2 linked regions of the Oryctolagus cuniculus genome follow. The main gene of each other region encodes a partner of the protein of the gene in region 2 in a complex. Links are inferred from orthologs where the notes say so. Each region holds a gene or a part of one and is shown on either strand. Other genes may lie near its edges. The genes, in order: NPPC and NPR3.

Evidence for each region.
Region 1: the proteins of NPR3 (region 2) and NPPC are in contact, whole or in part, in a crystal structure (PDB 1JDP), measured with the Homo sapiens proteins. The link is inferred for Oryctolagus cuniculus from reciprocal best matches to the Homo sapiens genes NPR3 and NPPC. Residues at the interface, in NP_001191304.1 of Homo sapiens: Asn110, Tyr138, Ala141, Pro142, Arg145, Ala161, Gly163, Phe164, His166, Glu170, Tyr171, Tyr204, Lys208, Leu209, Arg211, Tyr214, Phe215, Leu217, Glu218, His221, Glu222, Gln225, Ile233; in NP_077720.1 of Homo sapiens: Gly109, Cys110, Phe111, Gly112, Leu113, Lys114, Leu115, Asp116, Arg117, Ile118, Gly119, Ser120, Met121, Ser122, Gly123, Leu124, Gly125, Cys126.

Annotation. Positions count from the first base shown.
Region 1 is NC_091434.1:7,438,974-7,443,255, reverse strand, and holds the start of NPPC (C-type natriuretic peptide), read right to left. Parts: upstream 2,897-4,282; 5' UTR 2,729-2,896; coding exon 2,639-2,728; intron 2,226-2,638; coding exon 1,935-2,225; 3' UTR 1,915-1,934; intron 1-1,914.
Region 2 is NC_091445.1:58,794,138-58,798,431, reverse strand, and holds the start of NPR3 (atrial natriuretic peptide receptor 3), read right to left. Parts: upstream 2,956-4,294; 5' UTR 2,128-2,955; coding exon 1,374-2,127; intron 1-1,373. UniProt on the Homo sapiens protein: Receptor for the natriuretic peptide hormones, binding with similar affinities atrial natriuretic peptide NPPA/ANP, brain natriuretic peptide NPPB/BNP, and C-type natriuretic peptide NPPC/CNP.

The sequences.
Region 1 (4,282 bases), on a different chromosome or scaffold from region 2:
CAAGACCTGGAACCAGCAGCCATGGTCATTATGGTGGTGCTGAGAGTCAAGGTCGGCCCTGAGCGGAGCCGTGGCCACAGGCTCACAGGCGGGTTCATTCAGGTGAAACAGCTGTGCGTCCTTCTCCTTTAAGCAAACACAAGGCCACGGCCTGGGACTGTCCACCAGGAACCCACAAGTACAATGTGTTGGTCTCGTACCAGGTGGGGCGGGGACGGCTAGGGATGTCAGTGTGGGTGTTCCTCTGCCCTACAGAGCTTCTTGGAGCTTGGCAACCTCCCGGGGCGAAGGTGGGGAGGAGACTTTGCACCTGGATCCCTGCTCCCCGGCATCTCTCACCGCCCACGGGGCCTGTAGCCAGTCATGCTGGAGAACACAGCACCCGTGAGATGGGCACACCAGGCACGGACCCACAGACGGACAACTGCCATTTGCTTAGATTCCAAAGCCTGACCTTGACCTCTCACCCCATCTGGTCATTGTTTAGACAGAATGCAAGAGAGCAAAGACAGCATGATGGTAGCCCCTGCGGCTGGCCCCAAGGGCTTGCATCATTTCCCTCCCTGGGCAGGGGAAGAGTTCAGTGCAGAACTGAGGAGTCGGAGCCCGGTCAAATCTGGCTGCAGAGAGGAAGGGGGCCGGTTAAAACCCGGGGCAGGTGCAAGAGGGACAGACAGCCCTGAGCTTGGGCCTGCAGATGTCTCTGGTCATTGACAACATGTTGAAGAGCCCTTGTTGGGGACACTGTGAGTCCTAGGTTGCCTTGGGCTGACATCTGGCCCTTAAGTGGCTCCTGATTTAATATGGGAGGTGAGCAGGTACAAAGGTGAAAAGGTATCCACGGAGAGGTGCTCGGGTGCACACCACCGGGCTCTTTTTTTTGGGTGGAAAGTAACTGCCCCGTGGGCTGGGTGCAGGACAGGCAGTGGCAGAGGCCCAGCTGGGGACAAGCCTTGAAAGCAGCAGGAGTTTGCTCTTAACACACCTGCATGTCAGGGTCCCAAGGGATTCCATGGCATTGGCAGGCAGCCGGATTGGAGGGAGGCAGAGAGAGAGAGGCAGTGAGGATCTTTGTGGAGGGATACTGTCACCAGGTAACACCTGGCCAGGGCTGCCCGCAGGCTTTCCAAGTTGGTGGGGAGGAGGCCACAGCAGAGACAGGGACCTGGAGCACCATCTGGGTGGAGGACAGGGTTTCGAGGGGCTCCATCTGGGACATGTCCAGTCTGAGGCTGGGGCAAGATGTAAGGTCTATTGCATTCTCTTCCTTTGCCTGCCTGAAATGGTGTCCCAAGCACCGTGGTTGGCCCCCGGAGCCTGGCGGCTGCAGCGGCATCAGGACCCTGGACAGACCAGTTCGCCCACAGCTGGGCTTAGAGAGGAGAAGCAGAATGCCCAAGAGCGCCCAGCTGGGCGAGAGGCAGGTATTTTCCCAGGTCTGTCCCCCTGCAGGGACAACAGGTCTGGCAAGCTGTCCTGGCTGCCCAGTGCCGGAGGCCACCGGCACAGCGGCACAGGCAGACTTAGCCTGGCTGGTGGGTATGTCTTTCCTCAGTCCTCCCAACACACATGGGCTCTTTTGACTCTCCCAACACTGCTAACTCACCTGCCAGTTCAGAGGTGGGCGGGACCTCACCGTGCCTGTTTCTGCTTCTCCAGGAAGCCAGGTGTGCCCATCCCGGCTGTGCGCTCCTGACCTTACCCAAGTTTCCTGACCACTGCATCCTTCCCTTTCTTCATCTGCAAACTGGGGAGCAAGTGGGGTGGCAGCAGCAAATATGCACCCCACGTGGCCATCACCTGGCTCCCTCCAAGGGCCCGGGGATGAGCGAGCCATCGCTGCGCGGCCGTGCGGGCCTGCGGTTTGGCTCTGGGGGGCTCCAGAGCAGGGCGCGCGGGGTGGGTGGTACTCACCGCCGCCAGGGGTCGCCGCACTAACATCCCAGGCCGCTCATGGAGCCGATCCGGTCCAGTTTGAGGCCAAAGCAGCCCTTGGACAAGCCCTTCTTGTTGGTCCCTTTGTATTTGCGGGCGTTGGGGTGCTCGTGCAGAAGGCGGGCCCACGCCGCCCGCGACTTGGTGTCCACACGCAGGTCCCGCAGCAGTCGCGATCGGTCGCCCTTGAGGTTGGCGCCTCCGCCCCCGGGAGCCTTGTCGCCCTTCTTCTGCCCGCCGCCTGCAGTCTGCGGCTCGGGCACCTCCTCCCCAGGCGGGTTCCGTGGAGCCTGTCCAAGAAAAGAGTGGGCAGGTGAAGGGATGCACGGTTGCAGCGCAGGGCGCCCCCGTGGGGCCCCGGGTGCTCCGGCCCGGCGCGCCCACCGGTGCGAGTCCCTGCAAAGCCCTGGGCGCGCTCCCACCGACGCCGGCCCGCCCGGCCCGCGTCCACCTGCCGCGTGCTCGCGGCCGTCCGCTCCCTCGGGGAGCGCCCGGACCTCCCTCCTGCCGGCTTGTGGGGCAGGGAGGCCGCGCGTGAACGGACGTTCTCCGAGGCTGGGGGAGCAGGCCACCGATCCCAGCTTCCGACGGCACATCTCGGGGCGCAGCCCGCCCGCTCTGCTCCCTCCAGCGCGCCTCATCGTCCCAGGCCTCTGGCCTCCCGCGCGGCTCACAGGCCCGGAGCCCCCGCGACAGCACCCACCTTCGGCGCCGCCCCCGGCTTGGCTTCGGAGGGCCGGAGCGAAAGCAGCGTGAGCAGCAGGGCGCAGGCCAGCAGCTGGGAGAGGTGCATGGTGCCGGCGGAGCCGAGGGACGCAGACGGGCAGCACCGAGGGCGCGCGAGGCCGGAGGGCGGACCGGCAGGCGAGTGCAGAGCGGGCTGGCAGGGCTGCCGGGAGAGCGCGGGTCCCAGTGCTGCGCGGCGCCGGCTGGGTGCGCTCTGAGCCCGCGGCTCCGCTCGCGCCTTTATAATCCAACCTGCAGCTGATGTCATCCTCCCGCCCACCCGGCCGCCCGGGCCAATGGCACCGCACACGCGGCCGTGCTGAGGGCCGGGAAGGGGGAGCCGCGGGGGCTTCATCCCACCCCCGAGGGATCCCGCGGCTTGGCCGGCCAGCTCCCGGCCGCACTTGGAGCTGCAAAGCAGCGCGCATGAGGGAACTCCCGTGACAGCGAGCGCGCGCCCTGGCACGCCGAGCCCCCGCGCGTCCTCACCAGGCGCTCTGCACCTGGAAGCGATCCGAACCGCTCTTTGCAGTTGCAAAGACGGGCCCAGAGCAATTAAGTCACTTGCCCAAAGTCCCATAGCCAGGAAGTTGGCGCTGCGCGAAGTCCACGCCGGTGGGTTTTGCCGCCAGACTCTTCTTCCCCCGGCACCCGGCCGGTGCGGACTGGCGTGGCGGTCCCACCTTTCACCCGCTCGCCAGGGCGGGAGCGCGGAGCGCGCTGGTGCACTCAGGTTGGGCATGCGGGGGAGGGGGCCGGACGGAGGTCCGGGCGAGAGCAGAGTTTGCGCGAGGCCGCAGGGGGGAGCGCAAGTCTTCCCTAGCAGAGAGCGTGAGCCTTTGGGCAGCCCGAGGGATGGAGCTCGTGACGGGAGCGAAGAGGGCTGCGATGCCAGTGCGAGGGCGCCGGGACCTCGGGTGCCCGCCGCCGCCGCTCTGAGGTTGGCCCTCAGCCGGGATGGGCCGCACACAGCGTGCCAGGTTCTGAGTGCAGGTGGCCGAAGTTTGCAGCTTGCGCACCTGCCTGCGCCTACACTCCCGCCAGGATCTGCAGAGCGCGGGCTGGGCTGGGGTGTCCTCTTCAGGCTTGTGCACCTGCACAGGCTGGGCAGGGATCTTCAGTGAGTGGTCACCTGTGAGCTTTTGCTCCTAGAGGTCTTGGCCGTGGCCGTTGTCCTGGCTCACCCCCTCCTCTCCTTGGGCTGGATGTCTGGTCCATCGGGCTCTGGGGAGTGAGTCTTTCTGTTATGGGTCCCGGAGGTGGTGAGCCTGGCACCCAAAAATTGATTGAGATGCTGGAATCTGTGAGCCTGCTGCTGCTGAGCAGGTGGCCAAGCCCACCCTGCCAGGGGACAGAGCACAGGCGAGCGTTTTTAGGGAGAGAAAGCTGTGGGCGTGGAAGCAGCTAGAGACAAGAAGGAGGTGCCCTCCGGCTGGACCCCAAGCTGAATGGCACTGCTGTTTGCTCTGTCAGCCCCTCTCCCCAGTGTCCCCTTCCCACCGGAAGTGGGGAACCACAGACCCTCGGTCCCTTGGTTTAGGTCTGAGTTTGGGGCACTGGAGTCTCCTGATGTCTAGGAAGATCCAGATATCTACGGGGCATTTTTATCAGTTCTGGTGAC
Region 2 (4,294 bases):
ACAGCCTAGAGTTCGAACTCTCCAACCTTGGCCACACATCCCCACTGTCAACACCTCTTACTTCTTCGCTCCACAGGGTGCGTTCACTCGAGTCGCAGGTGGCCAAATTGGGAAGAGGGATAGCTACAGCCCCACCCTCGATGGTTTCTCTGCCCACTTCACCTGTCCTGCTTCTAGTCTCAGGTAGTGCTGTCCCCCAGAGCCGCGCCCAGGTGCCCAACCCTGCCAAGCAGTGGACAAGCGCTTTGCCTGCTCAGCTCTGCTCCTGGCACCAGGGGTCGCTGGGAGTTCTGCCAGGGCTACACCTCGGACAACCCAGGCGTGTGCGCTCCGAGAGGAAGCCGAGGTGGGATTCCATGCGCACCGCGCACCCAGCCCAGATCCCAGGAGGAGGACACTGCGCCGCAGCCCGCCCGCCAGCCCAGTCTACCCTCCAGACAAACCGGCTGCACCGGGGGCTGCCGCGATTCTGCGTCCGCCACCACTCCCTGTAGCCATGGCCACTATCCCCAGCCTTGAGCTCTCTGGACAGTTTTGCTATTATTCCAAACCTCTGGAGACCTGCGGAGAAAACTTGGTGGCAGCAAGGGCGCCAAGGGGAAAAGAGGGTCAGAGTCCACTGCTCCAGGGCGCTGTCCTGCCAAGCCTAGCCCCGGGCGCTTTGGAGACGGAGACGCCAAACGCGCCAGGGAGGTGAGGGGCCGGGACAACTGAGCGTCGCCTGAGTCCAGACATAGCAGGGCTTTTCGGTGGAAACCACAGAAGCTCGTTTATAAGGGACTGGAGGGACCATGCAGGGAATGAGAAGGGTGATACAATGAGCCTTTAAAAGAAACCTGAGGTCTGTGGAAGGCGCAGCCAGGCAAACCGGGGCACCCGACCTAGCCGAGCCGCGGCGCGCGGCTGCAAGAGCGTCCGCCGACGCCTCGGCTCTAAGAGGGGCGCACGCCAGGAGAAAAATAGGGCGACAAGTTCTGTCCTCCGTAGGCTGCAGACCCCGGACGGCGCAGAGCGCCGAGAGTGCGCCCCCACCGGCCAGCCAAAGGGGAAAGACGAAGGGAAAAAACACCCAGGTGGTTCGACAGCACCTGTCAGACCTGCGCTTGCCGGGGCGGCGGGCTCGGACGCCTCCTCCCCAAGCCCCTTACACTTCCCGGGCACCCTAAGCATACACCCCTCCGCTGCGCTGAGCGATCCGCAGAAGTCCTTGCAGCCAGAAAGCGCACGCCTGAACCCATCCCCGCGCGCTCCCTCCCCGAATCCTCGGTTCCAAAGAGGGCAATGGGGTCCGCAGAGGAGTGGACCGGTGCGTGAGGAGAGCCACGGAGAGCAGCTGGGTTAGGACCAAGGGCCCGGGACGCGCTCCCGCTCACCTCGCTCACTCGCCTGGATGTAACGCACGATGTCGTCCAGATCCAGATCTTTGGTCTCGTCGAAATTGTAGGCGGACGTGTGCAAGCCCTCCTCCTGGAAGACCTCGTGGACCCCCTCGAGGGTGAAGTAGCAGTTCCGCTCCAGCTTGTCGTCGCTGTAGACCAGCGCGGCGCGGCTCCAGTGGTGGTGGCGGAACAGGGCTAGCATCATCTCGCCCATCTTGGCGTAGGCGGGTGCCACGCGCGTGAGATGCGAGTACTCAGAGTCCTTATGCTGGAAGCCGGCGGCCAGTGCCCCGGCAGACAGCATGGGCAGGTCCCAGTGCGAAGCTAGCCGGGCCACCGGCGCCGCGGCGTACTCGCACACCGGCCCCAGGATGAGGTCGGGCTTGGCGCCCCGCGCCGCCGCCACGCGGTCCACCAGGGTGAAGAGCGCGCGGTTGCCGCAGTCCGAGTCCTCGTAGGCCACCTGGAAGCGAGTGCCGGGCGGCAGAAGCCGCCTGCCGGTGCCGTTGCCCTCCACGCTGCGCAGCGCATACTCGATGGCCGGCCGCACCCGGGCCAGCGAGAACAAGTACGAGTCGTCCCGGGGCAACAGCACCAGCACCTCGATCTTCTGCGGCGGGAGCGCCTCTCGCTCCCGGCGCCCGCCGCCGGGGCCCGCGCCCCCGCCACCGCCACCCGCGCCGCCGGCCAGCGACGCCCAGCCAAGCAGGGCGCACGCGGAGAAAGTGAGCACCAGCAGGGACGGCATCGTGCGGCCAGAAAGCGCTGGCCCTCGGCGCCGACTCGCCCTCGGCCCCCCACCCACCTCCCTCTTTCCTCCCCACTCTTCTCTCCGAGGTCCCTGCGCCCCCTTGGGCGCTCCAAGGAAACAGAATACCCCTTCCCTAACGCGCCCGAAGAGAGAGCGGAAGAGTCCTCCGCAATGTCACTAGTTTTTCGCAAAAAATAAAAAGTTCACCAAGTGTAAACCTGTGCGTCTGTAATATACACATCGACTTATTATAAATATATATATATTCGCCCTCCCTTGATACATATACTATTTTGCTTAGAGGTAGCTTCTTATTTGGGCGTTGCTAAGGTTGCTTTTTGAGGAAAAAAAAAAAGTTAGACTTGTCCAAGTGCTTGTAATTGACGGTGCATCTCCCTCGCGTTTGATCTCATTGATTCGCGCCGGTTCCTGGATGCCCAGCCGGCGTTTAAATAGCGTGGCAGCAGCGGCGCGCGTTACCACACATGGCGCGCCCGGGCCGGGCTTGTGTTTCCAGCGGGTGGGGTGGGCGCGGGTGTGGGAGGTGGAGGCTGGACCGGGGGAGCCTCTCATTAGCATTCCTACATCAGGGCTCCTCCCCGCACCCCTTCCCCGCCCGGCGCTCCCGGGTCCTGACACCCACTCCTTGCTGGCCCGCTGCCTTTTCCTTCAAGACGCAGCCACCCACGTCTGCATCCGCGGAGAGCTCCCGCAGCGCAGCGCACGCCTGCGGGCCCGGCCCGCCTCTGCCCGACCACGCTCCCTCCGGCTCCAGGGTTTATGAAAAGGAAATGTGTTTGAAAAGTAAGGCAATGTTCGCGTGCTCTCTCTCTCTCTCTCTCTCTCTCACACACACACACACACACACACACACCGCCCCCTCAAAAAACCAACAGGATGGGGGGGGGGGGGCGGACGAGGTGGCCCTAGCAATGGGTAGTTTCGGTGCAAAGATCCGGGGGTCCCGCTGGCTCTCACCTTTTCCTTGCGCCCGCCGCGGTCCCTCCTGACGCGCCAACTCCTGGCCGGCACCTGACCTCCCCGGTGCCCGGCGCAAGGACAGGGAACAAGAACCAAGGTCCCGGTGCAGACGGCTTGATTGCAAACCTGGGGTGCCGGGCCGGCCCGCGCGTCCCCCGCGCCCCCGCCGGCCCCCGGCCCCTCTCTCTGAGCCGCGCGGGTTCGCGGCGGAGTCGCAGCGGCGCCGGGGTCAAGGCGTCCCCACGCGCACAGTCCCCGCCGGTTCGCTGAGAGCCTGAAAGCGAAACTTGTTGCTCCCGAAGGTGAGAGAGAACGGTTCGGCAAAGCTTGAAACGCATCTCCCGGGCGTCCTCCGGGGCCATGTTTGCTACACCAGGTAACTGGACCAAGGGACCCCCGGAGGGTCCCGGGCTAGGGATGCGCGCTCCCCTCCAGCCCGAGCGCGCAGAGCTCCCAAAGCTTCGCCTCCTCGGTGCTCGAGGCACTGCGCTCGGGGATCTGCGGTGCCAAGAAAGCTCCTGCCTCAGAGACCCGAGTCCCCCCACCGGCCGCGGGGACGACAACAGAGCAGGCGGGCTGCGGAAGCGCTGTGGGGAGGTCCACCGCCCAGGGAAGCCGCGGCGGGGCGGGACGCAGCGGGTCTGGACCCAAGTGGCGTACGGTGGGACCCAAGAAGCGCTGGGGCCGGGGAATGCCGCCGCCGAAGGCTCACAAGTTAAAAGAAGTTGAAAATGTTTTTAAAACGGCCTTTGGCTGGCCTGGGCGTCGGTGTCGACCCTTTTCGATTCGTCTTAGACCGACGCCCTCTTTCGGCAGAAACTTGCACCCGACGCCTAACCGTGGTGCTACCGCCCCCCCCCCCCCCCCCCCCGGGCGCCGCGTTTCTTTGGCCAAGGCCCTGGAGCACGCTGGCTCTCCTCCACCGCGACAGCGAAGAGGCCATCGGAGGTGTCCGGCCATGTGGCAACTGCTGGCCTCAGCGGCCGCCGCCCTCCACCGCCTTCCCCTGTCTGGCACCGCTAGCGCTGTTAGGGGAGACGCTTTCTCCTCGGAGTCTCTCAGATTGCACATTATGCACTGTGGTCCCAAAATCTTCACAGTGGAGAAGCCGTGAGAATGTTCATTTGTTTAATTCAAGCTGCTTTTAAAAATTTTTACAAAAGACGCATCTACATAAAATCTC